Mytilus edulis: one gene and its partners. Each later gene encodes a partner of the first gene's protein in a complex. Links are inferred from orthologs where the notes say so. Each region holds a gene or a part of one and is shown in the gene's direction. Other genes may lie near its edges.

What was found.
Region 2: integrator complex subunit 9-like (region 1) and integrator complex subunit 1-like share a complex: the UniProt entries of both Homo sapiens proteins name them as parts of the integrator complex. The link is inferred for Mytilus edulis from reciprocal best matches to the Homo sapiens genes INTS9 and INTS1.
Region 3: integrator complex subunit 9-like (region 1) and integrator complex subunit 12-like share a complex: the UniProt entries of both Homo sapiens proteins name them as parts of the integrator complex. The link is inferred for Mytilus edulis from reciprocal best matches to the Homo sapiens genes INTS9 and INTS12.
Region 4: integrator complex subunit 9-like (region 1) and integrator complex subunit 2-like share a complex: the UniProt entries of both Homo sapiens proteins name them as parts of the integrator complex. The link is inferred for Mytilus edulis from reciprocal best matches to the Homo sapiens genes INTS9 and INTS2.

The regions. Positions count from the first base shown.
Region 1 is NC_092357.1:9,158,459-9,165,980, reverse strand, and holds the start of integrator complex subunit 9-like, read left to right. Parts: upstream 1-4,514; 5' UTR 4,515-4,608; coding exon 4,609-4,617; intron 4,618-7,348; coding exon 7,349-7,476; intron 7,477-7,522. Other genes in the region: RNA-binding region-containing protein 3-like, read right to left, coding at 2,674-2,802. UniProt on the Homo sapiens protein: Component of the integrator complex, a multiprotein complex that terminates RNA polymerase II (Pol II) transcription in the promoter-proximal region of genes.
Region 2 is NC_092352.1:85,422,444-85,430,173, reverse strand, and holds the start of integrator complex subunit 1-like, read left to right. Parts: upstream 1-4,726; 5' UTR 4,727-4,839; coding exon 4,840-4,870; intron 4,871-7,730. UniProt on the Homo sapiens protein: Component of the integrator complex, a multiprotein complex that terminates RNA polymerase II (Pol II) transcription in the promoter-proximal region of genes.
Region 3 is NC_092350.1:30,145,110-30,152,053, reverse strand, and holds the start of integrator complex subunit 12-like, read left to right. Parts: upstream 1-3,938; 5' UTR 3,939-4,103; intron 4,104-6,944. UniProt on the Homo sapiens protein: Component of the integrator complex, a multiprotein complex that terminates RNA polymerase II (Pol II) transcription in the promoter-proximal region of genes.
Region 4 is NC_092349.1:27,278,485-27,286,324, reverse strand, and holds the start of integrator complex subunit 2-like, read left to right. Parts: upstream 1-4,834; 5' UTR 4,835-4,955; coding exon 4,956-5,242; intron 5,243-6,212; coding exon 6,213-6,351; intron 6,352-7,207; coding exon 7,208-7,310; intron 7,311-7,840. Other genes in the region: mediator of RNA polymerase II transcription subunit 31-B-like, read right to left, coding at 2,127-2,322, 2,986-3,082, 3,788-3,862, 4,761-4,794. UniProt on the Homo sapiens protein: Component of the integrator complex, a multiprotein complex that terminates RNA polymerase II (Pol II) transcription in the promoter-proximal region of genes.

The DNA.
Region 1 (7,522 bases):
CCATAAAAAATTAAAAATTAAAAAAAAGTATGTAAGGCCAGGATTTTTTAATTTGTTGGTTTACGGATCCGCCAACCCGATTTTGCCGATTTCCAGAATAAAAATAAAATTGACTTTTCATGCTTTTTTATTCCCGCCGACCCTAAGAAATGCATTATCCCTGAAAAATAATTAAAATAATTTTTTTTTATGAAATGAAATGCATTAATCACTAACAAAATTGATAACACTTGCTGTTGTGAAAAAATAAAACTTCCAGTTTACGTTTTTAAATATAGACAAATCAATTATCATAATAACTGACCTTGAAATGTCGTTTGCACAAATAATTTTGCGGAACGAAACTTGTGTTTAAAACCAATTACACAATAAGTTCGTTTTCCTTATTTGTCATCAGTCCGTAAGATGCATCATCTCATAGAAATAGACTTGTCCAAATGTTGATAGGTTGAAGGCATCAAGTTGAAGTATTGAATATTAACAAATCCTTTGGAATTTTCTTGTTTCATAGATAATAAAAAAATTATCGTCCATTTGGATAAAAAACGGGAATGCGAGACAACAGATTGACCCGATAATCTCGTTTTGCCAATGGACGAGTCTATTAGGTTTTTGACACGTGTGTTGAAACTTATTTTCGTACGACGTTTTTACATTTTTTTCTTTATCAGTTTTCGTGCTTGAAGATCATTATTCACCAAGTTTTCTGGAATTGATTAAGAGCTACACGAATCTATTTTTCTTGTTTCTGAAATGACGATTTAATTTCATCTTTGTCCGTGCACCCCCCTTTTTTTTTACTGTAACTTATTAGACAATGTCATGCGATGTTTATAACAGCTGAGCAATAATATTTCATTGAACTAAAATTTAAGAAATGATGATAAAATGGCATAACAAACATATTGTTAGAAAGGTGAAATATATATTGATTTTGCATATTTTTCTGTCTTCAAAGATGATTTTTTTTCTTTTTTTTCCTGACCGACCAACCCGACTTTTTCATGGGGAAAATCCGTAAACCAACAAATTAAAAAACCGTGGCCTAATAAATATTGTAAAAAAAAAAGTGTTTGGAATTTCCCTCTTGGGGTACCATTTTGGGGTATTTCCCTATGACCGTAGTTCAGGCGGTAGGACATTGACATTTTAAGGAATTAGAAAGAAAAATGAACTTAAATAATAACATTTAATAAACATGGTATATAAATTACCAATTTGAAGACAAAACAAGTTTAAATTCATAAAAGTTTGACCATTGTTACTACACATTGTCCTGGTTGTGACGTGACGTTGTTGATGAAATACAGTAGTTCCGGTAAGAAGGCGGGGCTTATAGGTTAGTTGAGGTCATTGACGTATAAAGCTAACGTTTATACGTATAGCTTTATCTGAATAGTGAAATAGCTGATTGCAGTATAAATTATATTATTGTTATACATTTGTATTTTGAGATATTCAAATTAAAGGGCATCAGGGGAGATAAGTATTGCATGTATTGTACTAACTTATTTTTCCTAAATAAAGTAATTATTATAATTACTTGAGTGTGAAATCATGGATCCAAAGTCTTATTGAAACTTTCAAAATCATTATAGTGTTTCATTTTTGACATCTATCATGTGTCTTTATCATGTACTGTGAAAGTATTTTTTTTTGTGGGGTACCAAATTTCGTGGTTTTCGAGGATGGCTTTATCCACAAGTTTAAGTATCCAACGAAATAAAACAACGATTGTCCAAATCAAGACATGGAAAGATACCCATGTAGGTTTGACTACTGTTATATATGATCCAGAGGATATATATTGAATAACGCCAAATCTGAAAATACTATGATAGTAGTCACAGGGCAAATGCACTAGCTATGAACTACAACTGCATGCAGGATTATATCCATTTAATCTTTAATAACCTAAACTGTACAACTTTTGATCTTTTAATTCTCATAAAAATATTTATATTGATGAAAGTCAGATTTCCGGTATTGATAAAGTGTTCATTTTATATTCTCATAGTTCTAGTACATATGGGAAATAAAAATTTCATGCTGGGCTGGATTTTGATAAAAATTATTTTACAATTCAAGATACGTTTATCATGTTTATAGCATTTGTTCATGTTACTGTTTTCTTTAGCATGTTTAGGTGACATGTTTATGGCCTAATTAACACATTTGATGGTCTTTAATTTGTTGATCACTTTATCTTGGGTTAATTAGTGTTGTCACTAAGATTTATAAGGGTCAATGTTTACTAAGCAATTTCCTTCAATCCAGACTACAAATGTAAGTCATGTAAGTGTAACCGTCTATTCTAAAAGCTTCAAATTTAATTTTTTTTTCTTTCTAGAAAACTTAAATCCATGAATTTAAAAATCCATGAACATGTCAATATTGCTGAAACCACGAAAATTGATAACCACGAATTAAAGTACTTTCACAGTATATGAAAGGTGAGTTTATTAGAATTAAAAAAATCTAGGAAAATCTTTCAACTAATAAATATTATCAATAGGAAAAGCTACATACAAATGTACAGATATATGCATTCTATATAAGTATGTGTGTTCTTATTATTGGGAAACTCAGGTTTTTGCATTATTCGCATTAATATAAACCTTGTAATAATGTAAGAATTTACAGTAAATATATTTATATATTTTAAGTAGTCACCATTGCTCCTCTAACGCCCATCACTTTGACCCTAACTGCTCCAAAATGTCTGAGGAGTTCTTCCTTGTCTCCATTGGAGAGCTGTGACGGGAGATGTCTCACCAGAAGTGTATCATCAACACTTGCCATGATCTGAAAACAACAAATACAAAACTAAATAAGTGTGGAACACACATATGTCTGAGGAGTTCTTCCTAAATTCAATTTGTCTCCATTTGAGAGCTGTTTTTAGTCAGTGTTCATGTTGCTTAGTGTTTAGTTTTCTATATTGTGTCTTGTGTAATTTAATTTGCCTATTGATCTTAATCTTTAAGCTATGGCATTGCTCCCAAAAAATAAGTCTGTACATTGAAATTGTATAATGAACATGATGAAACCAATGTGCTGAATGGCCAGCTTAATTGCACAAAAAGTTTGAAGCCATTTTTAGGAGTGAAAATTTGAGAAAGAAAGTCTGTATAAACATGATAAATGTATTTTCAATCCAAAGCCCTTAATTATTCATCGAAATTCAGTGTGCTTAACCAAATGTATCTTGAGCTGTAACTCATCATAACTCATTATTATATATAAGCATGATAAGTAGACTAATACACCAACACTCAGCTAAATATACAGATATATATCAAAGCACTAAGAAAAATAGGCTGTTAAACTGTTATTATACATGCAAAGACATACATAACATAGAAAGTTTGTAGAAAAGTGACATAGGAGTTGAGTTCTACAATCAAGAGAAAGAAACAAAGGCAACAAAGAGTTATCAAGGAATAGAAGAGATGAGGTTGGGTGACAAGACTTTCCTTTACCTTTCCCCATCTGTGAGTAAATGGAATGAAGATAAAAGTGTGCACGCTGACCAGTAAATCTCATCCTCTCTACCATCCGAATGGCAAGGTTCAGATGCAATAATAATTTGGCATGCCTTTTGCAGCCAGACACTTACCACAATAGTAAATTATACTTAACAGGGCTCAAACTACTTCAGAAATAGTAATACATGTAGTGTTCTAGTAGTGCATATTTTAATCATATGGGGACGAAGTCCCCAATTACAGTTAAAATTTTTTTTTTTTTAAATCTAAAATTTTCGGGAAAATTTCCCGAATTTTTCATTCTACTAACATACTAATGAACTCCAAATCGTTAACTTTTTTTCCAGATCTACTTCCGTTTATGGTCTTGTTGGCATGAGACTTTGAATAAAATGTATGTTTATCAACACATCAACAAATATAGGAAGGAATTCAACACCCCATCATTTTTTATAATTGTTTGATATGAAAAAAACGTTACCTGGTTGACAGCGTTTCTTTCTTTACATTGAATATGACTTCATAACTTAAGTATCGTCACAACTAAATCCCTAACAACATGAACAACAGAACCAATATCGGAAACATTATGGTATTTCCGTTTCTTTTATCAATATGTTTGAATTAAAAAAATAATAAAACAGACTTCATCCCCATATACAGGTAATTCCTGCCTCATATTAATATAAGGCCTTAAAACTTTACAAACTGCACAGGTAAGTCTGCACACAGAATAATTTTTGAGTTAAAAATTCTGCCATATTTGTCCATTTGTTATGATGAACCTTATCAGTGTTTATTTCACATGTTTCAATTATCAGATTAGGAGAATTTGTATTGAATTTACCAAAAAATTACCACCTTCTTTTATTCAACAAAGAGCATGAACCATTATTAAAACGTCGCAAACCTTTTGTTTTGTGCACCTAACAAGTATTTTGAAAATATATATCAACAAGCACAATTTCTTCTTTCACTTTGACCGGAAGTTGTTCTCTAAAGCGCTAAATTGATTCTGATCTTCATTTTATAATTCTGTTTCTCACCAAATAAAACACTTTACTGACGCGAGATTTTCCCTCGAAAGTGAAAGAACCACACATTGACTGGAAGACAAAATATGAAGCTGGCAAGTTGATTTACAGATCAAAAACAAAATATATATTTTAATTCAAATCTAAATATCAAACTACCTTTGCGGAGCATGTAAAAAAATATAAATAACAACCTCATAAAAACATATTAGATAGTGGGACGCCTGGAAAGGTATATTTTGATTTCTTTTTCTGTGACACCTTCCTCAGACATAAGAAGGTGTCACAAATAAAAAAGAAATAGCTTTTCACAACATGTTTCAAGACGTCATAATTATATGGACCACTGAGTCTAAAATGAACAAGATGAAGATATGAATGCCCCTTAATACTGTCAGATGTCGAACAGTAATTTCTGACTACCGTTTATCATCATATACACCTTATCGCTAATCCAGGCTGACCCGGCCGCTTGAACTTTTGACGCATACAACAATCACTTTTCCATTGTGGCGTCAGATATTTTGTTTTGTGACGTTAAATTTTTACGGGAACCTGTGTAATATCCAGTAATGGCGGACAAATAGCGATAAGGTGTATTGGTTAAAACTTTATTGTGATTTATCAAAATATCCTTATAGTGGTTTGTCAGAGGTATGAAAACATTATTTTACATGTAGAAAAGAATTAAGCTTGATTCGTTTAAACAAAGTTTTTGATTTTCTTATATATCAAAAAGAAAAGGTTTGTTTTATCTGCACCAACAATTTACTGTTAATGTCATTTTTTCAAGAATTGTTACCATGGTTACTGTCATTTGTCATAAACAGTCAGACGTAAACATGATATGTTAGTCTAAATCTGCTTTTGACTCATAGAGGTCTAAATTTGTAGGTTTCAAGATTCGTCTCCCTTTAATTTAAGACAAATTATGACTTCAATACAGGGATCGAAATTGACGCTGGTCCGGTGAATCAAAACCAGTAGAATTTGTGTCAGACCATTAGATTTTGTCAGCTGGTGGTACAGCTGACCAGTAGAAATTTGTCGATAAAAATCCCTGATTGCATCGCAGTTTCGGTTTGTTTGCTAACAAATTTATCTGGAAATCAGTTTTTGGAAGGACTGCCGGACAAAAAAATAAATAAATGTCATTCAAAAGGAAGATTGAAATAAAGTTTATGAAATTGACAAAAGGAAATGAAATATAAATAATCCTGGGAAGAAATTGTGAATTGTTAAATAAAAGTTAATGTCCCAGCTATTGAAATGTGGAACATTTTTAGGCAGCGCTCCAGACGACCCAGTCAGGCACCCTATGGTCTTCGTGAGGATTGTGATGATGTGGAAGACAATGTTGACATTTTTTCTGTCATTGATTCTGATTTTCATAAAGAAAAGCTTTGAGATTATCAAAGCCTTTATCAAAAACGGGATTGAGATTCTCTCTTTTTCCTGTCTAACATATGTAAAAGAAAGCATGAAAATAAAAAGTAAAAATCTATCATTTATACAGTATAGTCATGTAAGGGGTTGTCAAATGAATGTCATTTTTGCAGGACCAGTAGATTTTTTAGTCCACTGGTCTAACTGGCCAGTACACAAAAAAGCTTTAATTTGACCCCTGGTATTTCAATATGTCAATTATCATGGTTAGTGTTGAGCAAGGAATATTTGACCTGAATTAAAAAGTTGCAAATATTGACTCCTACAAGTAGATAAGTTACCAAAATTAATCATTGTTAATGGTCAATTTCAAAACCCAGGCATACATGTATCTATAAAAAGGTCAAACACCTAAATGAAATTATGACAACATTAAAAGACATTATATATTATGCTAAATATCTTTTAAAGAAAATATGCATGAGAGCCTAAAAAAACAGAGAGGTAATTAGATATAAGAAGATGTGGTATGAGTGGCAAAGAGACAACTCTCTCATCCAAGTCACAATTTGTAAAAGTAAACCATTATAAGTCATAATACGGTCTTCAACACAGAGCCTTGGCTAACACCAAACAGCAAGCTATAACATTTATAAAAGGGCCCCAAAAATGACATGTATAAAACGGTTCAAACGGGAAAACCAACGGTCTAGTCTATATAAAAAACAAGAAACGAGAACATATATTTATTCTGCATAATACTTGTTTCCCCTGAAATAAAAAAGATGTTCCAAATCAGAACACCTTCTAAAATATAAAAAGGGGTGCAGGGTATAAGTTTTTGTATTTATTATAATTTTATATTGACAAGTATTTTTTAAAAACTACTCCGACAATCATTGAATGAATAGAATAGAATAGAATAGAATATTTCTATTTCCCAAATTACAGGGCCCATAAAGGGCAAAAAATCAGATACAATTGATTTACATAATTGGTAACAACAACAATAATAGAGACATATACATATATATTTGGAATATAAGCATTGGTTAGTATCAAGCTAAAAACCACATATATATTGTGAATAAAAGAATAATAAAATTACATTATACATGTATATGTATTTATTCTCAAATTATTTACTTGACCTAGTGTCAGTGTTCATACCTGATCTCCTTAATTCAAATGAATAAAATACTGAGTGGTGATAAAAAAACACATCCCAAATTCAAAATAAATACAGAACGGTTGCAACATGTAAAAGATAAAAAAACTATTCTGAGAAACATTTCCCAGACAACTAATTTCTTTGGAACAACATGATTTCAATGTAAAAATTCAAGAAAGTGATATAGTCAAGTTTTGTCATGGAATATACATGAATTTGATAATCCATCAGCATATAACATACATATTGATATTTTCTTTTAATTACAGTCGTGTTTGTCCAGCAATCCAAGCAAGCCATGTTTTATACTCCACTTTAAAGGTGTAACACTGATGTTAGATTGTGGACTTGATGTTAAAGAAATATTAAAATTCTTACCACTTCCTGTTATACAGAGGTCAGTGTACCCAAATTCTTTCACTTTTTTCACATTTCCCAACCAA
Region 2 (7,730 bases), on another chromosome or scaffold:
TATGCTGCATCCTACTCCAAAACAGACTTCCAGGCAAGCTTTTTAATGTCATCCAATCAATGTATAATGAAAACAAATGCAGAATTAAATTTCAAAATGGTATTAGCCATGAATTTATATCAAATTGTGGAGTAAAACAAGGGGATGTACTTTGTTTAATATTTATATAAATGGCCTTGTAAATGACCTTGATCATGCAAACACTCAACCAATTATTATAGGAGATGTCAAACTAACATCATTATTATATGCAGATGGCATTATTCTATTGTCTGAAACCCAAGAAGGGCTATACAGAATTAACTAAATTTTGTTCCCTATGGAAACTTGATGTAAACAAACAAAAATCAAAGATTATAATATTCAATTCTAATGGAAAATCTCATTGTAATTATTTTAAAGTAGAAAACGAACAACTTGAGACTGTTAAATCATATTGTTACCTTGGAATAACTATAAATTGTTCAGGAAGTTTAAGTCATTCAAAAAATATCTTATAGAAAAAGGAAGAAAGGCTTGGTTTAAAATAAAAAAAAACAGTCTCCTTAGATAATTCCTGCAGTATGCTTGAAAAATTATTTTGATACTTTAGTTGTTTCAATAACTCTTTATGGAAGTGAAGTTTGGGGTGTAAGCCAAGTGTTCAAAGATTCAGATCCATTTGAACATTTACATATGAAATTTTAGGAGTACAGTGCAAAACAACAAATGTAGCCTGTTTAGCTGAGACAAACAGAACCCCTTTGTACTTTATAATTCAGCTTTCAGCTATAAAATTTCTAAACCACATTGTGAACTCCCCTAACACTTTAGTCCATAAAATATATAATAATGTAGAGAAAACAAGTAAATGGGTTAACATTGTTAAAGACTGGTTAAATAAATTAGGTTTTGGTCATCTCACTTTTGATGCTATTAATTTAAAATATCACATAAATACTATCCAACAAAGAATCTATGACCAGGCTTATCAAATTATAAATTGCTCTATCAATAAATATGAAATTTAAATTTCTTTTGTCATACTAAAAGAATTAGAAAAAGGACCCCATATATTGATATATATGTAATCTCAAAACTGACCGATCAGTTTTCAGTAAATTTAAACTAAGTGCCCATTCTCTAGCAATTGAATGAGGGTTATACAAACATTGAAAGAAGTAAACGCATATGCTTATCCTGTAACAGACAAGAAATTGAGGATGAATACCATTTCTTCTCAATCTGTCCATGCTATACATCATTGAGGGAATCCCCCGATACCTATATACAAAATATTAATAAAAATCTTAATTTCAATTTTATTTAAATTGCAGTCTGCTATAACACTGAAACATTTGACTGCACTTTTAAATTGCAGTCTACCAGTCATTATAAAAATCACCATAAAGTATATTAATGATTGTTTTTTATTGAGAACATCTATATAGCTGTATTTCTTTTAATATGCAACCTAATTTTTGTTTGTGTTCTTTTTTTAATTGTTCATGAACATTAATAATGTGTTAACTGTTGATATTTATAGTCTTTTTCTTCTTCCCTGTAAATACCACTGTCATTCATATATAATTATAATCAATTTAACTATTGTCAATTTATACATAATGTCATGCCAAAACCACTTAATGTAAATGTGTTTGTGCTAATAAATATTGTCTATTGTCTATGAATTATGCAGGAAATTGATGTTCATCCCTCTACAGGAAGCTGCATATAGTGTGAGGCTTTCAGAATAGAGAATAAAGAACAAAACATTAAGAATAGAGAATGGAGAAAATTTGGCAAAAACATATAGGATAAAGAAAACTGAGACATGTTCATGATTTTAAAAACAATAGGATTCTAAAATATAAAGAATAAAGAACAATGACCATTTAAAATAATAAAGACTATATATATAGACAATTGGCCTAAACAATTAATAAATATGTATACAAATATGACAAATATGACAGTCTTCACGATGAACTATAAAAACTACAGGCCTGGAGCTCAATTTTTGAAATTTTTTTATTAGATTCTGTTGGCCTGTAGATATGATTTTTACAGGCCGAGAGTAATTTTACTAGCCTGGGCTGTCTCGGGTGCCACTCAGCGTGAAGACTGTTTCAAATATGGAGAGCATCATCCAGATCTGCATAAATTAAAGATCTTTTTCATCTGCACTCAAACTCAATGAACATACTTGTTCACTGGGTTAATCAATACCATCTGAAACTTTGTGAGTATGAAATCAAGGATGTGATAAAAATCCTTGATGAAATGAAATACATTCTTTTTTTAATTATATGATATCAAAGATTTGACGATATAAACTATGTTATAGAGCAGCAGTACGATGAAGAAAAAAAATCAGTTGGTCGAATTGTGTAATGGTCTATTTGAGTTCAATTGGGTAACCCATCACTCCGGACCTAACCAACAGTATATTGTATTGTATAAATTATATAGGAAGTAAATTACACATCATTAACTTCCTTGGTTTTTTAGTTGCTCAGTTTGTGCTAATGTTTTGTTTGTTATTCTTTATTTTATAAGAAAATTGTTCAATATGAAATGTATCAACATTATTGAAATCTATGATAAATAAAATATATCGTTTAGTTTTACACTTTATCAGCAAAAAAGGTTATCTTTGAAAACAGGGATATCATGTTCTACAACTCATTATTTATAATTTGTATGTTTTGCATTTGAAGGAAGACAATCTATGTACAGATTGGTAATACATGATGTTGTGAAATTTATTGATGATCACTTATATTCACTTTGCTAAAAGTCCAAATAAAACAGTTTGGGTATTCATTTTGAGGAATAAAAAAAGACTAAGGACAGAAACACTAAGCAAAAGTATTTTTTATCTTTGACTTTTACAAAACGTCATAGGCTACTGATAAAGGAGATATGTTATGACTGCAATTGATATATTTTTAAGATACATGAACATATAAAAAGAAGATGTTGTATGATTGCCAATGAGACAACTGTCCACAAGAGACCAAAATGACACAGAAATTAACAACTATAGGTCACCGTACAGCCTTCAATGGTGAGCAAAGCCCCTACAGCATAGCCAGTTATAAAAAGCCCTGAAATGACAATGTAAAACAATTCAAATGAGAAAACTAACGGCCTTATTTATGTACAAAAAATGAACCAAAAAAAATATGTATTAACACATAAACAAACCACAACCACTGAACTACAAGGTCCTGACATGTAGCTTATAATTTAACTTGAAATACATATACATGTACATGATGTATAATGTTAAAATTCATAGTTTCATTTGTTGATTGTACATGTATATTGAGAAAATTAGTATCAATAGCTTGATACAATAATTTTTTACAAATTAAATGATTTTTTTGCGGCAAAATTGTATATTTTATGCCTTTTTTATGTATATGGCTCTGATCTGGTTGTAGATTAACATCTAAGAAATAGTTAAATTCATATTTATGATTTGTGTCAACATTATTGTAACAATTATAAAAATCATTGTAATAAATTGTTTTGCTCTTCATGGGCCCTTTAATTGGAATAAAAATATCTTATCTTATATATAATTGTTCATTTATTTACAGCAGACAATAACTGACTGTCAGATCAATGAAAAATACATATTATATTCATTTTACCAAGGACTTGTACAAAAAAAATGTATATATAGTAAGACGATACAAATTCGTGATACTGTATTACGATATTTTCATTTATGCACTTTTGTTTCTTAACAGAACTACGATTTAGTCAGGGGCAAAAACTTGAGGCAAAGTAGCATAAAAAGGGATAATATACATGACACATTTTTTAGCTGGAGTATGGGGTGTGAAGTGCCAGTGGTAGTATATATACTAAGATTAGAAGAATGGAATTTAGAGTTATATATAGCCTAGGGGAAGGGAGTGGGTATATGGGGTAGGAAATTTTGGAATCAGGGGACCCACTTTAGTCCTCTAGTAGAGATTAGTAATGGGAGTACCTTCATGATGAATATAAACAATAAAAGTTCTTGCCAAATCACGTTCACAGTAATTTTTAGTGCATGACAATAAAATTACACTTTCTTTTAGGCGATCAAATATTCGACTAGCTGATTTTGACGCATCACTCTAAAAAAATAATCCAAAAATGATGTTAAAGAAAATTTTGTTGAGACATCTGACATCATGATAAGGATATTTTGACAAATCAAGGTAAAAGTTCAACCAATTTGACACTAACATGACTAACCACTGGTGGATCTAGAAATTTTCATAAGTGGGGGCCCACTCCTGTCACGCTTCAGTGATTCTCTATATAAGCAAATTTTCCCCAAAAAGGGGGGGTCACTGGTCCCCAGGCCCCCCTAAATCCGCCTCTGCTAACATGACTAACACTGGGTTACAGTAGCCGAGAATGACAGTTTGATGTCTGAAGGTAAAGGAAATTACTACCTTTCTCATAGAGTCTACTGACAATAAAATAAATATACATAATTTGTTTACTTTAGTTTATAAATATAAAAAAAAATTATGTCTGACTTTGTTCAGTGTAGCATAGCCACGCCATATGCCAAGCACTTTGATCAGCATTATGGTAAACATCTTAACAATCAATGAAGAATGCTGTTTAAACCTATATCTGTTATTTTTATACCTTTGTGTTTTTCTATTTGTAAATATTTACAAAATATATACAGAGCTATTTTCTGAGTTTGTCAGGTTTTTGTTATTGTCAATATAAACACTTCCTCGACGTTGCTCAATCGAAGTCGTTTGAACGCTTTCAGGTGGCAAATGCAAAGGAGAAACTTTTATTTGTAATTCGTTTAAGTAAGACAAATGAACAGCTGAAATGTCTGGTAAAAGACCAGCAAAAGGGAAAGGTAAAAGACCAAAACAAAAAATAGAACCATATTGCGATATCCGTCTGTGGATTAGTACTACGAAGGTTGACACCCCCCTTTTCTCTGCAAAATATTCCAAATAGATATTGCAATTTGACCATTTTGTTTTCTGATTGGTCTAAGAGAATGAGAAAATAGAGCCCTCAGTAAGGGTTCTGGAATTGGATAATTTGCTGAAGATGCAAAAAGTAGGAAATACATGTAAGATGTGTTCGTACCAACATTTGACAAATGAGCCTCTCAAATGTGTATAATAACCTTAATGCTATTTGGAAATCTGTGCCTATTGACCTAAGAATCTGTGCTGCTGGAACTATTGACGTCATAGCCCAAATAATTATGACATTTTGAAAAGCTATTATATTTTTTTTTCTTTGACGTATTACGTCTGTAAAGGTGCTAAAGCAAAACAATATAATACCAACAGCCTATCAAGACATCATAATTAGTTGGACTAGGAACATGTGTGATGTCCAGTAAAAGCTGACAATAGCGATAAGGTGCATTCATGCACTTTCTCCTATAAATATTCTACATCACAGTAAGAATTTGTTTATTAAATGACATCACTGCTCTTTAACGCTTTCGGGTTGATCTGGCCCCACGTCGATCCGGCCCCACGTTGATCCGGCCCCAACAAAATATATATTCATCAGGAATAAAAATAAAGATATATATATATTAATAGTAATTCATAAATGTTTATGATTTTTATTATAATGTAAAAGGTGTACGTAAAAAAAATAAAAAAGGCCTTTTAAAAATATTTTCTTTAGATGAGTATAAAACAACCAGTTTGATCATGTTTTTATTACAAGTTTTCAAGATAATGGGGTATAACTATATTAAAACGTATATAAAAGAATTCAGACATCAACATTAATCAGCAGTAATTAGCATTTTCTTTCAATTGACTGTGATCCCAGTGATGTCGTTAGAAGCCGGCAGCCGGCGATTTTCGCCGGTTATTGTCCTTTTCCTGCTGGCTATTTTTGCATGAGTAATAAAAATTAATAAGATAAAAAGGATAATCAGGTTAATATTAAAAAATAATTGTTCAATGCATCAGCTTCCACGATTAAACTTGCGATAAACAAGGATGTAAATGAGTGTTTATCTTTGACTAAATATAGTTCATGTAAATGCAGTCCGCTGATTGGTCGTCTATATAAAGTCGGTAAGTATTGTATGTTTGCAAGGATAAAAAGAGAGACGTTCCGATGGACATTATGACCCTGTTTGGTTTTTGCTTCAAGAGAAGGAATAATGCAGCAACCATTTGATTTTCTGGGGGGGAGCTATGGGTTTTTTTTCTGGACAAATTTTTTATTTCGCCTGCGGCCAAAAACAATCTATTTTTTTCGTGACAAGTCGAAAAAAAAAAATTTCTTTCAATTTTAGCATTACATCTAGTGGCAGCTGAGGGTGAAACAAACAAATTTTTTTTCTCAGAATCAACATTGATCAAAAACAAATTATTTTTTTCTCCAAAAACTGGAAACAAACTTTTTTTTCCAAAAAAAACCATAGCCTCCCCAGAAAAGCCTCTGATGTTACCTGAAAAAAAATACAATTACTTATAATTATATACACCAAACAAAAGAACAAACAATAAAGACCTTGTTGCTTACGTAACTTTGATTAATCAATTAATTAATTAATTTAATCAATTGGATTTGATTGAATTAAGTGATTTATGAGTGACATTACCTTAGTTCACAATCATTAGACAATTGTTGAATAAACAAACCAATTATATATAGACTAATTATTGACAAATGATTTGGTTAAACAAGACATGATGAGTTAAATTTTAAGGGTTTCATTGGACTGTAAATATTTATTTCGCTACTCTGTATGAGAAGTAAATAAATTCAAATTCATCATGACAAAGATGACATTCAAAGTCAACATGGAAAATATCTTCACATTTTAAAATATGTTGGAGCTGCTATACAAACAGACACAACAACACTCAGTTTCGTATCGATTTAAAATAGTTCTTTAGTTTAACTGGTACTCCAATACTTCACTTACCTGTTGTCATCCATCATCGACACTTTTTGCAAATTCCGTTTATACTGTTCAAATTTGTCAAAAATTCCTCCATATAGTGAGCATATTTTATTCATATTTTATAATCATGATAATAGGGCCGGATAGACGTGTGCTGGAACAACTATGGGCCGGATTGACTTTGGGCTGGATCAGTTTTGGGGCAGAATGACTGGATACCCTCTTCAACTTTGTACTTGTTTGGCTTTATAACTATTTTGATCTGAGTGTCACTGATGAGTCTTATGTCGACGAAACGCTCGTCTGGTGTATTAAATTACAATCCTGGTACCTTTGATAACTATTTTCATGTACACAGATTGATTTTGCCAATCAATAACTGTTACTCAGTCCTATAGATTTGTTTAAATTGTAAACCAACTTGAGATTTGTGTACATGTATATCCACAATCCTTAATCTTAATGTCTGATGGCACTAATTGTTTCAAATGTGCAATGGTGCAGATTCACTCCTTCGTGTGTTATGCTTAACCGATTTTTCTCTCTGTGCATTTAAAGGGTTTGTTTTTGTTAAGATTGGGATTGGGGAACAGTTGTATCAAATCTGCAGGATAATTTACCACTGTTCGTAGTTTGGGTTTCCCATCTAAGGTCTATGGTTTTCTCCAGTCACTCCGGCTTCGTCCACCATTAAAAACTGGCCCCCACGAAATAGCCTAAATGCGGTGCTTAAAAGTGGTGTTAAAACTGGCTTGAAGAGAGAATTCTTGTTCATATATGCATATATCACACTGCATTGAGTGTGAAACCAAAAAAGTATACA
Region 3 (6,944 bases), on another chromosome or scaffold:
GTTATGCATCAGAATCAGAATAAATGTTCTGTAGGGTTTTATTCAAGTGTAATTGTTAATACGGCGAAATCAACAACCGTTTACACATAGGTTACGATACATGTGGATTTACGTGGGAGGCATATTTAAACAGCCATTTGTGTACATCTTGGAGTCTGCGCTAAGTATAGATATATCGAGAATTTTATCACGGTGTTGTTTACAAAGCGAAAGAAGCACGTCATATTAGAATAGTATCTAAAACACAGCCAAACAAGATTTTGATACGACCGCAAAAATTAAAAAAAATTTGGTCGTATATTGGTATCACGTTGGCGTCGTAGTCAGCAACGGCGTCCGAAGACTTTTGGTTTTCGCACTATAACTTTAGTATAAGTAAATAGAAATCTATGAAATTTAAACACAAGGTTTATGACCATAAAAGGAAGGTTGGGATTGATTTTGGGAGTTGAGGTCCCAACAGTTAAGGAATTAGGGGCCAAAAAGGGGCCCAAATAAGCATTTTTCTTGGTTTTCGCACTATAACTTTAGTACAAGTAAATAGAAATCAATGAAATTTAAACACAAGGTTTATGAACACAAAAGGAAGGTTGGGATTAATTATGGGAGTTGAGGTCCCAACTGTTTAGGAATAAGGGGCCCAAAGGGTCCAAAATTAAACTTTGTTTGAATTCATCAAAAATTGAATAATTGGGGTTCTTTGATATGCCGAATCTAACTGTGTATGTAGATTCTTAATTTTTTGGTCCCATTTTCAAATTGGTCTACATTAAGGTTCAAAGGGTCCAAAATTAAACTAAGTTTTATTTTAACAAAAAATGAATTCTTGGGGTTCTTTGATATGCTGAATCTAAACATGTACTTAGATTTTTGATTATTTTCTCAGTTTTCAAGTTGGTCCAAATTTGGGTCCAAAATTAAACTAAGTTTTATTTTAACAAAAAATGAATTCTTGGGGTTCTTTGATATGCTGAATCTAAACATGTACTTAGATTTTTGATTATTTTCTCAGTTTTCAAGTTGGTCCAAATTTGGGTCCAAAATTAAACTAAGTTTTATTTTAACAAAAAATGAATTCTTGGGGTTCTTTGATATGCTGAATCTAAACATGTACTTAGATTTTTGATTATTGGCCCAGTTTTCAAGTTGGTCCAAATTGGGGTCCAAAATTAAACTTTGTTTGATTTCAACAAAATTGAATTCTTGGTGTTTTTTGATATGCTGAATCTAAACATGTACTTAGATTTTTGATTATAGGCCCAGTTTTCAAGTTGGTCCAAATTGCGGTAAACTTTGTTTGATTTCAACAAAAATTGTATATATGGGGTTCTCTGATATATGCTTAATCTAACCATGTATTTAGATTTTTGATGTTTGGGCCCGGTTATCTGATTGGTCCACATTGAGGTCTAAAGGGTCCAAATTTGAACTTTATTTGATTTCAATCAAAAATTGAATTCTTCGGGTTCTTTGATATGCTGAATCTAACCATGTATTTAGATTTTGGATATTGGACCATAATAGGTAATGTCCAATTTAAAATTTAAAGTTTTAAAGTTTAAGTTCTTAGACCACATTCATCATGTGTCAGAAACCTGTGTTGTGTCAACTATTTAATCACAATCCAAATTCAGAGCTGTATCAAGCTTGAATGTTGTGTCCATACTTGCCCCAATGTTCAGGGTTCGAACTTTGCGGTCGTATAAAGCTGCGCCCTGCGGAGCATGTGGTTTTGTATAGTAAGCATCATCATTTAATACCAGCCTATTATTTTAAACTAAGACATTAAAAAGCTTCATAAAGACATCCAACCAACTTCAATTGTAGACGAGACTGTCTCATGACGTTATTCAATATTTACATCCTCAGTTTCTCGGCTTAGAATAAAAAAACGTATGCAGATTTACTACAACTTGCATGGCCGCATTTAAGAACAATTTAAGTCCAAACTGACAAATGATTAGGAATAATACAGTATTCAGGCCTCAAATATAACACACCTTTACACAGTGGCGGATCCAGGGGAGGGTTCCGGGGGTTGGACCCCCCTTTTTTTGACGATCAATGCATTTGAATGGGGATATATAGTTGGACCCCCCCCCCCTTTTTGTCCTTGGTTGGGACCCCCTGTTTACAACATATTGACGCAACAGTTAACTAGTGTATATCATTCATCTGGCAAAACATACAAAAATAGCTACAAGCCTATAAATTGCTTATCAAACGATAGTCGGACAAGCAATGTGGTATACTGTTGCACTCTTTGGGACCCATGCACATCAGAAAATACAATAAACATTCATATTGAAACAAGTGCGAAGAACAGCTACATGTTATCCCGGACACAAATCATTGAATGATTCTTGGATGCTTGACTTCCAGTGGCAAATATTTCAATACAGATCGATATTAGTTCACAATTGCTATGCTTTACAAACTCTAAATGTCTACCTCATAAATCCTTCAAAAAGGGAGATTAAAAACAAAGCTTCAAATTCTCATATAAACAATATACAATTGCTATACCAACAATCCTTTCCAAATGCTAATCCATTCTTGCATATAAGCCCTTCAAAGTGAAAATTTCATATCATAATTTGAGAATAAAACCAATTTCTGAATAAATATTGTCAAAAAATGCACAATGGCGGGATGACGCTTGAAAAATGTGCGTCGATGTATCCTCCTAAAATTGTAATACTTATATGCTTATAAAAGTCGTCATATCTATATGTCCAAAGGTCAGTTGAAATTTAAAGTCGAAATTTCGAGTACGTTTATAATCGAAATTTTGACGTCGAAATTTTTAAATATATAAAAGGCAAAATTTCAAGTTAAAGTCAAAACTTTGTGAAAGGAGTAGGTCCATTAAGACCCCCTTTTGGCCCCAAACCATAGCAGTTTTACATAATTTTTAAAATGTAAACTTTTGGCTATTTATTGGAAAGTAGAATGCTTATATTACATAAATATGGGCTGTTTTTTGACAATACAAATGATGCACATATATCGGATATTAACATCATTAAGTCATCGGATAAATAACTGAAATCTTATCAATTTTATAATTTGAGTTAGATTTTAGACGGTTTCCGTCTTCAAATGAAAGTGGCCGCATTTGTGTTCCTTTTTAATGACTTTTATTATGTTAGTTTCATTTGATGATATTACATAACATATACAAAGTTTGAGAGTGAACGTGATTTGTGACAAAACCATCTGAAAAGTGACTGACCAAATCAGTTCAAATCTTTCACATAAACTAATTGAATCGACTGAAGTAGATACTTAAGTGTTAAAAAAAGTGTCCAAATTCTTTCCGGGCATCAGATGAACCTGAAATGTGAGGCCATAATCGGCCCTTACCGGCGGATCTGACTCCTTTGACTGAAAGTTGAAATTTCGAGTATGTCGAAATGTCAAAATTTCAACTTTGTTAAAAAGTTCACCACGGATTCTTTTTGAAAAAGTTGACCCATCTCGTAGTGAGTTTAACATACGCTATCGTTGTTGAATATTTGTGTCACTTGGTTTGTTTCCTTTTCTTTTTTTGGCATTTCGTAACCGTGACCGGTCAGTAAACCAGCTGCTTAATTCTAAATGTTCTGTGAAGTGATTTGTTCATTTTCGTTTTATGTTCAAGAAGCTCTATGGCCCTATAAATGGATTTTTCTAGAATCAAAATCAAATCACGTAATTTATAAATTGTTTTCTATTTCGGTTGGATATAAAAGTGAAATATTTGTCACTGGACGTCACACTATTAACCAATGTATTTTTATCTTTCATAATATTGTGCAAATTCTATAGACATGGTACTTTGAATAAAACTTTATGATTGGTTTACAATATGTTTGATTTTGTTTGAAAAGATATTTTCATAAAATGATTAACACCACTCCGCTTGCTGTTCATCTCAATCTGAACGTAACCGTTTCGGGGTTTAGAAAAGTAACTTCCGGTTTGTGGAAATTGTAAAAAAAGTAATTTATCTGTTCATCAAATGTTACTGTTTTGCAGTAAATGTTAGTTTAACTGACGTATTTATTACTGACAGTCACTTCTGTGGGTAGATTAATAGCAGCATTAACATTATCTAATCGGTAAGTCTAGGATAGCATTATACAACAACAATGTTCAGGCTAACTGCTGAGGCTAACTGTTACTCACAGGCACTTGTTTCTGTCAATATGATTATCAATATGGGGTTTTCTATATATGTAAATCCCATATTGACAGAAACAAATGCCTGTGCTGTTACTCACATCTCAGTTATAAAATAACATGCAATAAATAGAAATTTTCTGAAGAAAACCATAAAATTGATTTTTATGCATTTCAGGAAAAAAAGAAAAAAAAGACATTATGGTATTCATGGAATTTACTCATAGAATGACTTGTTGTTACGCATACATGCATATACAGGGTTCTCGTAAAGACGCGTATACACATTCTGGATGCATGGCAATCAGTGGCGGATCCAGAAATTTTCATAAGTGGGGGCCCACTGACTGACCTAAGAGGGGGCCCGCTCCAGTCACGCTTCAGTGATTCCCTATATAAGCAACCAAATTTTTTCCCAAAAAGGGGGGGCCCGGGCCCCTTCCCCCTAAATCCGCCTCTGGCAATCGAGCAGGATGCATAATTTTTGAAACCCATGAATTCCTGGGACGCGTCCTGATTGTATCCCCTGAGTCCCAAGATGAGTGCTAGGAGAATAGTTAAACTTGATATATATAATTTCATCTACACCAATTTAATTAACATCTATAGGCGAATCCAGGGGACCCTTTTGGCAAATTTGGTTGCTTATATAGCAGCGTATTCATTAAGAACCGATTGCCGATTGAAATGGTCGTTTATAATCAAATTCCCATCGGTTGTTTTTCTGATGTCAAAAAAATATAAATCGTACTTTTAGTTTTAGATCGTCGGTCACTATCTAGGACAATCAAGAGAAATATATAACGGCATTTCTGATTGGTTAATAAAATTGAATTTCCGGTAAAATAGATCCTGGTTGTTGATTTCGCTGCAAAGTACTATAAGATTTTGTACTGAAACCAGGAAAAGGATGCATTCATAGTAATAACGAGATTTTGTAACCAGTCAATAGCATAGTCAGAGAAATGAAAATAATTTCAGATTTTTTTCAATCAACAACAAAGTGAAAAAAAGTTTTGTTCTATGACATTTGCATTCAAATAATTGAGACACCCTCCTTGGTCATGTTCATGAAAGTGCATGATCGTGGTCCTACCATGAAATGAAAAAAAGAGCAATGTCTTGTCTCGTAAAAGCAGACATCACATTATTATTTTCATTAAGTGATATTCACTTTCTTGTTTTCAAGTGATAGAGCCTCTTAACAGCAGACTCTTTATTTTTACCATAAATCATAAATCATATGTTTACCTGTCCCATGGCCTTTCTTTTGAAATGAAAGAAAAAAATGTAGAGATAGCTCGTTTGCATGTCATTGTGTAGCTTCAAATAGAGTCATAAATACTAGGACTAGGAGCATGCCACCACCTGACACAATCATGCCCTGACTAACCTGATCCAAGTAATAATAATAAAAAGTGAGGATGAGGATGAGGATGATGTCTCCCTATGATTATAAAGAAGTGTGAGTCTTGCATTATGCATTCAAGGATGTACTTTGACCAGGTTCTGGAATTTCTGTCAGATGTTTAATCTCTGGGTTTTCCCCTATGATACAGGGTAAAATATTTTGACCTATGACCATGATAATCCCATTTTTCCTTTCTTTAATAAAAGACTTCAATTATTAACTCACAAAAACTCATTTTAATACCAAAATGTAAGCAGATCTTAGATTTCTTTCTTTCCTTTTGTTTGCTTCTTAACTAATGCTCTTCTGAATTATGGTATCAATTTTATTTGATTATTGTAATTTCACCAAAGTGCATCCTTTTTGCCTTTAAACAACAGTCCATTGAATTCATCATTTGATTTATTGTGATAAGTATTTGAAATTATTAATACTGAAAAATGTTTTCTATGGGTTAGAACTATTTGAATAATTGCATGTCTACAGTTAAATTAAAAATATTTTCAACTAATAAAATCAAATTTAAATCTTTTCCTGAATGATCACCATGTCTTACAGAGTCATGCCTTCATTATTTTCCTCAAAAACCTGCAAACAACTTCAATAACTTGTTAGCTGAAAGTCTTGATGATATGTGATCAACTTTATAGAAAATATGACCATCTTGCTGCTCATTTACCTTATCATCATTAAAAAAATGGTGTTTGCGAAGAACAAAATTAGAGTTCAGGAGCCCCCCAGGGTGCAGGATTTTGCACCATTTTAAAAAAAAATTCAGACCCCTCGCCGTGAAGGGCAACGAGCAAGCTCGTCGCGCCGAACGGCTACGCCGTCCGCCGGTGTTGCCTGCTACTTTTATTATTTAACCTCCTACTTTAAATCTTATTGACAACCCTGTATAGGGAATCACTAAAGCGTGACTGGAGTGGGCCCACCTTACAAAAAGTTCTGGATCTGCCACTGATTAGAAAAGGGTGTAAAGGAGATGGGGTTAATTTGTAAAGTTATTCTATATTTTTTTGGGGTTATTTAAGTCTAGTATAAGTATCTTAATCATTACTGGACCAAATGTCCAGTTTATAACTAAAAAATCACCAATAAGAACAAAGAAAACTTCTTTTACTGAGTTTATTATTAAATAGTCAATTAACATTCCTCCTCCCCCACCCCAAAGAAAAAAAAAGAAAAACATAACCTACCTTTAGACCCAGTCTTTTATATGGCAGTCTGGCTTTGGCAAACCAACATTTTTTTAAAAATGTGGCCATACACCAAGAATTGATATATATATATATTATGAAAACTACAAATCCGACAAGCATCGTTTTAGTTTTATTTCGTCATATTTCATTTTATTTAGACACAAAAA
Region 4 (7,840 bases), on another chromosome or scaffold:
ACCAAATATTTCATGATCATTTTATTAGTTTATAAAATGTAACTGTAATTTTAATTATCTTGTTTAAAAAAAAACCATAATGATTATGTGATATTGGCAAAACATTTGTAATTATGTGATTACTAGGACACCCCCATGAGGGGCCTCTTAGCACTTTACTTATTTATACAGATCCACAGGAAGTTCCTTATTTCAATTGTGAGAAAAATAGACGTGACTTTTTTAATTCTACTTGAACTTTAAAAATTGTAAACACATTTTGTTGTACATAAATACGTTACTTTTCTTGTTAGGATTGTTTTACATTGCCATTTCGGGGCCTTTTATAGCTGACTATGCAGTATGGGCTTTGCTCATTTTTGAAGGCCGTACAGTGACCTATAGTGGTTAATTTCTGTGTCATTTTCGTCTCATGTGGAGAAATGTCTCATTGGCAATCTTACCGCATCTTCTTTTATCTTTCTTCCATCCCAATTCAGTGCAAAACCAAAAAAACTTGTAATTTGTAATTCAGTTATTTTAACAATATTATCACTCAAATGTTTATATATAGATATTAGAAGATGTGTGCCAAATGAGATAACTCTTCATCCAAGTCATAATTTGTAAAAGTAAACCATTATGTATATAGTTTGCATTACTGAGTATAAAGAACAGGAACAAATCTTATATACAGATGATTAGGCTCTGGTATGTATTAAATTGGCAGAACATTTTGAAATCACTGCTCTTCAACTTCCTTTGGTCTTGGTAACTCTTTTTATTCAAGCCTCTCTGACTAGTTGTGTCATTTGGTCTCTTGTGAAGAGTTGTCTCATTGATAATCATACCACATCTTCTTTTTAAGATGATTTATGCATGAAAATTCAGAAAGCTGACGAGTCTTTTGTAGATGGAATGTGCGTCTGGCGTAAGTGTAAAATTTTAATGCTGGTATCTATGATGAGTTTATTTGTAATTTCAGAGGAAAAAGAGAAATTTCATGGGAGAGATGACAAATAAATGGACAAATGTAAACCATAATAATAAATATAATAGAGAATGGAAATGGGGAATGTGTCAAAAAAACAAGAACCCTACCCATAAGCAGAAAACAGACTAGGGCCACCAATGGGTCTTCAACACATCAAGAAAATCCAACACCTGGACGAGAGCTTCAGAAATCAGTGTATAGCCACAATACAAACTAGTAAATCTAGGCCTGAAAAAGCATGATATGCAGTATGAGTTTTGCTTATTGTTGAAGGTGGAACAGTGACCAACACAGCTAGTTTCCAACATCTTTTTTACACTTCTTGATAGGTGACTTATTGGCAGTCATACTGTTAACATATATTTGTTCTATAAAAAAGAAGATGTGGTATGATTGCCAATGAGACAACTGTCCACAAGAGACCAAAATGACACAGACATTAACAACTATAGGTCACTGTACTACCTTCAACAATGAGTAAATATTGTGCCTGCCAAATATTTGTATGGAAACTTGGTTATAAACATGATAAATAAAGCTATATCATCTGTTCACATTAGATTTAATATTTCTTCTAAAAATAAAATATTGTTTGTTTCCCCAATCCCGACTGACCCTGAAAATGTGGTGCTACATATAAAATTGTATTGTCAAATCTAAGTCCAATATTATTTTATTCATTTCTGATTTTCAGGCTTACCTGATCGTCCGATAATGTTCAAACTGTTTGGAAAATTAAAATTATTTCGCTACCTACATGTACCTACCCATATCTGGCTGCGGAGGATTGGGATTGGGGAAACAAACAATATATAAATTTAGGCCCTATTTGGGAAATGTTTGGAACAGATATCAAAAAGAAACTTCTGTTCAATGAAAATACAATATCTCTATACAACATCTCTTTATTTTATACAGTTTATAAAACTGCCTAAAAACTATGAACAGAGATGAAAAAATTTCCTGCTAAATACATCATGTACATGTTACGTCTATGACAAGTATCAACCTCGGAAAAATTTTACACATAAAAATGTTCGTTTTGGATGTTTAAGAGATGACAATAATTTTGACCATCCACATAGCTGCCATTACAATTCAGAGAATATCTCTGACCGATTAATTTTAAATCAACACATTTATTATTGCTGTGTCAGCTAGTTTTATCTTTTTGATCTTGTTTGTGTCGTTCCGCTTCATCGATCAATAACTTCATGCGTTTCCTCTGATAATGCTGCCAATGTAAGAGTTGCTGATCGTCTATAAACTTAGCACATTGTGAATTCACTAATTCTTTTCTAAAGTGTTCATATTGTAGCAGCTCCAATAAATGTAAACATTGGGGATATCTGAAAATGAAATAAAAATAATGAAAACAAATTAAATATTGCAAGAGATAATTACAAACTAGTTATACAATGGGAAAGTCTTAATCTTTAAAGCAGATATTGCTTGGTGTATCATAACTCATACAGTGTTTATTTGTCAACTTGTAACATGAACATTTAACATAACGTCATAAAGAATTTGCAACTCCTTGTGTGTACTGTACAAGGCATATCTGTCAACTTCTGGAAATGAAAATCTCATTCATATCCTGCATTGAGCAAGTAAATGTCAGGTCATAATGAGAACAATTTTTTTCTGTTGAATTTATAATTATTTTTTTTTTCGTAAAATATCTACTACTGTGGATATATTGTTTTTTTGTGGGGTACTAATTTTTGAAGATTTCGTGGGTACAGATAAACCACAAGTATAAATGTTCAAAGAATTACAGATTTTCTATAACATGTATAAGGATGTACATTGTATTGGCAAAATCACGATATCAAATAGCCACGAAAATGCAAGATTTTCTTAATCCACAAAAATTGGAACACATAAAAAAATCCACAAAAATTGGAACACATAAAAATCCACAAAAATTGGAATACACAAAAATAAATGAATCTACAGTATAACAAGATTCCTACAAAAATTCACTATTGTACATTTTTGTACAAACTTACTTGAGGTATTTAGCATATTTAGGTTCTTTCCAGTATTGCAGGTATTTAAGGTAGTTGATAAATGTCTGATCTTTGAAGAATCCTCTCTGTGCTAAAACTATAAAAAAATAAAATTGAACAGTATATTTTTACAGCTCTGTTAACTTAAAACTGTTCACACAACACATAACAAGGATAAAATATGCAATTGCAATCTTAATAAATCAATGATAAAAAAATTACATGGCTCATATTGGGAGAGAAAATAATAACTGAAAATTAAAGAATTCTTGTAACAACTCTCATGACTCTTTAAGGGGTCTTTGCCAGTTTTGGTGGCACGTACATTGCAGGACAAAAGTTCTTTTGCTATGCAAACAAACTTTTTTCAAATTGTAGCCAAGCTTGTATTACATGTATTTAAATCAGTGGCAAATCGTCAGTGTGTATTCCTTCATGTAATATAAAAAAATATATCTTCATGTTAAAAATAAACTTTTGAGATATCTAATTATTGTCATCTGGGCAGTTTTGTTGCAAATGACTGAGCATCTAACATAGAATATTAACAGTTACAAATTAATATTAACAGTAGATGTCATCCAACCTAAAAAGGTTTTACATTTGACATTCAGTGTTGCCCTTGCTCATCGATACATACCTAAGTTTGTTTCCGTTCTCTAACTTAAGAATATAGGTGTTGTCACTTTAACAGTTGTGGATGTATGTCACTTTACAATGTTATATGCAAGTATGGGGCATCATCTGTCCCAAAGACACATTCTCAATTAGAATTGGTTTTTTACTGTCATTGTATACTCACAATTAAGGTAATTCGGATTAGCCAAACATTGTACAAATTCTAACTCTGTCTGAAATCTCACTCTTTCATCTGCTTCTGAAAAAGAAATTATTTTTTATTTAAAAGATACAGCATTCTTAATGATATTCAGTGTTTTCCCCAAAAGATGATTTCCATTCTTTGTAAATTCAATCATGTCAATCCTCATGACCCCATTTATAAAAAAATTTCTTTCTGGAAACATCTTGCTCAGCTGATCTTGCTATAATTTACGTTCTATTCCATCTTGTCTCTCCTTGTAAGAAAAACTACATATAAGGGTAGTAATGGCCTTTACCATCAGGCGTCAAATGTTCAATTCCAGCTACCGTTAGCGTCAAATTGGTTAAAATTTTACAGTGAATCGTCAAAATATCCTTATGGTGAACCGTGATTCGTCAATGGTGTCAAATGATTATCCTTACCGTCATTTTTGAGAAAAATTTAACGTGATTCGTCAAAATCAGTCGATTTTTTTATCCCCTAAAAGAAAGTATACATTTTAATATCGTCATGCATCTAAAATTACCTTTTACGTTTAAATTTGGCTAGAATTTTATCGTTATTCGTCATGAAGGTATCCCCATTACCACCCTCATATATGAATACAATAACATATGATCTGACCAATTATTTGGTGTTTAGGAGAAAGGCTGGACCCATGTATGTGTATAACTGTTTGTAGTAGAATGACCAAATGGCAGATAAGGGTAGAACTATACAGCCTTAGCCACCTTATGGCAGGGTCATAAAATATATTTATTGAATGAATTAATGTATTTTTGCTGTTTGAGTTGTGAAAAGCTTTGTATCCACTTCAAACTGCTTTTCATATTGTTCTGGCATTGATAAGTATTTATGAACAACAATATGCATGACAGAACTATAAGGTTAGAGGGGAACTATTTATTTTGGGGTCTGTTGTTATCTAGAGCAACATTAGCACTTATTTTACCATGGGAGGAATTCTGTCTTGCAGCTGCAGCCATAACAAAAATATGATCTATGTCTTCTTCGCGCTTGTAAGAAACGCAATTACAACAAAGCGTCAGACTGACGTTGAGAAAGCAAAATGGCTGCCCCCATGAAAAAATTTTGACTTTTAAAATTTTTGTAAATCCTTTACATTTTTTTAGGTTTAGCAATAACAATGCAGAATCTAAAGTGTAGTGTTAAACCCGAAATCTTCAGAGCAGTACGAGATGTTGACATCTCTTCACTGAGTGATTCGAAGGAATTTGATTTGCGTCCAGTTCTTCCATGTCTTGTTAGAATGGCTTTGTGTAAACCACTTGATGAGAGCTCCAACTGGACAAAAGCTAAAAAAGAAGTCTTAAAAATCTTATCTGGGATAGAAGTTGTGAATGGCATTGTGGCATTGCTATCTATTGATTTCCATGCTTTAGAACAAGACGTTAAAAAAGAACAACAGCTCAGGTACACCCCTAAAAACAGTAGTGAGTTACTGAGTAAGGCACTGGCTACAATCACGTTGCAATAATATGAGGCAGGCATTACCCGTGAAAGAGGATAAAGTTAATCATTTTTTTTTATTTCAAACATATTTAAAAATCTGTTCAAAAAGAAACGAAAATATCTTACAGTTTCCTATGTTGGTCCTGTTGTTAGGCAGGGTTCTCGCTAAAGCGAGTCCATGAGTCCTAGACTCATCAAAATCTGTTTGGACTCACCATTCTCAAAACTAGTGAGTCCAAAGATGCATCAATATTGAAATATTTTGTATAAATTGAACACAGTAAAACACAAATATCATCATGATCATCATTTTATAGCAAAAGTTTTAAAAGTAATCTGAATTTAATGTCATTTCATTGCTCTGTTAGGCCATGGAGGATAAAATATTACATTATATTGCAATAAAATATATTCTTCTTGCTGTTGGACTCACCATGGCCAAAAATGACGAGTCCCTGGACTCGCCTTCAAAAATCCTTAGCGAGAACCCTGTTAGGGATTTTAGTTGTGCATCATTTAAGTTATGACTTCATTTTCATTGTATACAAAGAATTAATAAAAACAAAATTGTTATTCTGCTCCTTCCTCATGTTCCTCAATAACAATAAATGAATTAACATACATGTATATTTTATTCAGTCTCATGACAATATTGAGACCAGAAGAAAGAAAGACATTTCTGCACAAATGCGGGAAAATAAAAAGTTCATGATTTTGAGTTCATAGGTACATTGATGTTTTTTTATTATTGATTTTCCTGCTGCAATTGGAGTTTTTGTCCCCACAATAAACATGATAAAAGAGTTATTGTACATGTAAGTATTGATGAGCAAATTGTTTTCCAGATTAACTCTCCATACCTTCAGAAGTGATGACATATTTGTTTTTTTCCTTGATAATAATCTTAAATTTTTTACCTTATTCCTTGCAGGACAAAGATTGGTACATCACAGACTGACAGTGTCCTGATATCTCAGTTACAGTGTGGGCTTGCTATGGAGTTTGAAAGAAGTGACCATGCTCGTAGAATTCGTCTGCTATTAAGTGAACTTCTCTTTGTAGCATCACAGGTTAATTATCTTATCATTTGTAAATTGAGCATGTTAAACAATCAACATTGAATTTTCAATGTTATTCTATTGTGAATATTCAACTTCATTAAAGACATCAAAAGTTTTAATTAAGTAACAACATTATGTATGAGAATCAGAGGGAGGTATCAATTTTCATGCATTAACGAAAACTTGTGGATGTTTTTAAAAATTCATGGTATTGTCGAAGTCTGCATACAAGCATAAAGAACATTTATCATTCTTACAAAATTTAATTTCATAGTTCAACTGTACCCACGAAATCCACAAAAAATGGTATTTAATGAATAATAAAGAATATGCAGTATACCAGTATATACTGTTGAGTGAGGGTTGAAGACTGTCAATTTTTAACATTTAAGGAATGACTGTAATATTTTTTCTGTCTATGAAGAAATAACATAAAAAATGTGGTACACACTGAATAACGCGCGTAGCAGGTTATTTAACAGTGTGCACCACATTTTTTAGGTTATTTCGAATAGACAGAAAAAATATTACAGTCATTTCTTATAATTTAATTCTAAATTCCATTTTAAACTGTAGAAAACCATGAAAAAACGTTGATGACGTCACAATCACATGACTAAATTATGTCTATGGGCTGATAACAAAATAACGTCAGCCAATCAGAAGACACGTTACATCCAAAATTAAATTATGTTTTATAAAGAAATACAATGCAGTTTCTATATAAACCAGATTTGTTTAGTTTCTGCTTCAAAAATGATGATGAGAGTAGATCTACATGATCTATGTTATTGTGTTTGGCAACCAGCGTTTATAATGAAAAAAATTATACTTTTATTACAATGTCAATATTATATTGCTTCAGATGAAAGAAAACAAGGCAGAATTTTATTTCAAGTCATCAGAATTACTGGAGAGCATTGTTTACCTTGAAGAAGTATCTGATGTATTGTGTATAGCACAAGCAGGTAATATACATTAACGTTGTAAACCATACTTTGACCTTATGGCTTACTTTTATAAATTGTGACTTGGAAGGAGAGTTGTCTTATTGGCACTCATACCAATTCTTTTTATATCTATGTAATAGAGATAAGAAGATGTGGTATGAGTGCAAATGAGACAACTCTCCTTCCAAGACATAATGTTTAAAAAGTACAATTTAAGGTCTTAGTACAGCCTTAAATACAGAACCTTAGCTCACTCTGAACAGCAAATTTTAGATTTAAGGGCCCCAAAATGACCAGTGTAAAACAATTTAAACAGGAAAACCAACTATGATTTATATTAAAAAGAGAAAGGAGAAACACCTTTGAAACACAACGGCACACAACAACCACTGAACAACAGACTCCTGACTAAAAACAGGTGCTTGAAAATGCAATATGTTTAAATGTTTAAACTGGTGCCAACCTTCACCCTTGTCTGAGACAATTTTGTAACATTACAACATAAAAGGACGCTATAAAATATTCAATTGAAATGACTTTAATTGATC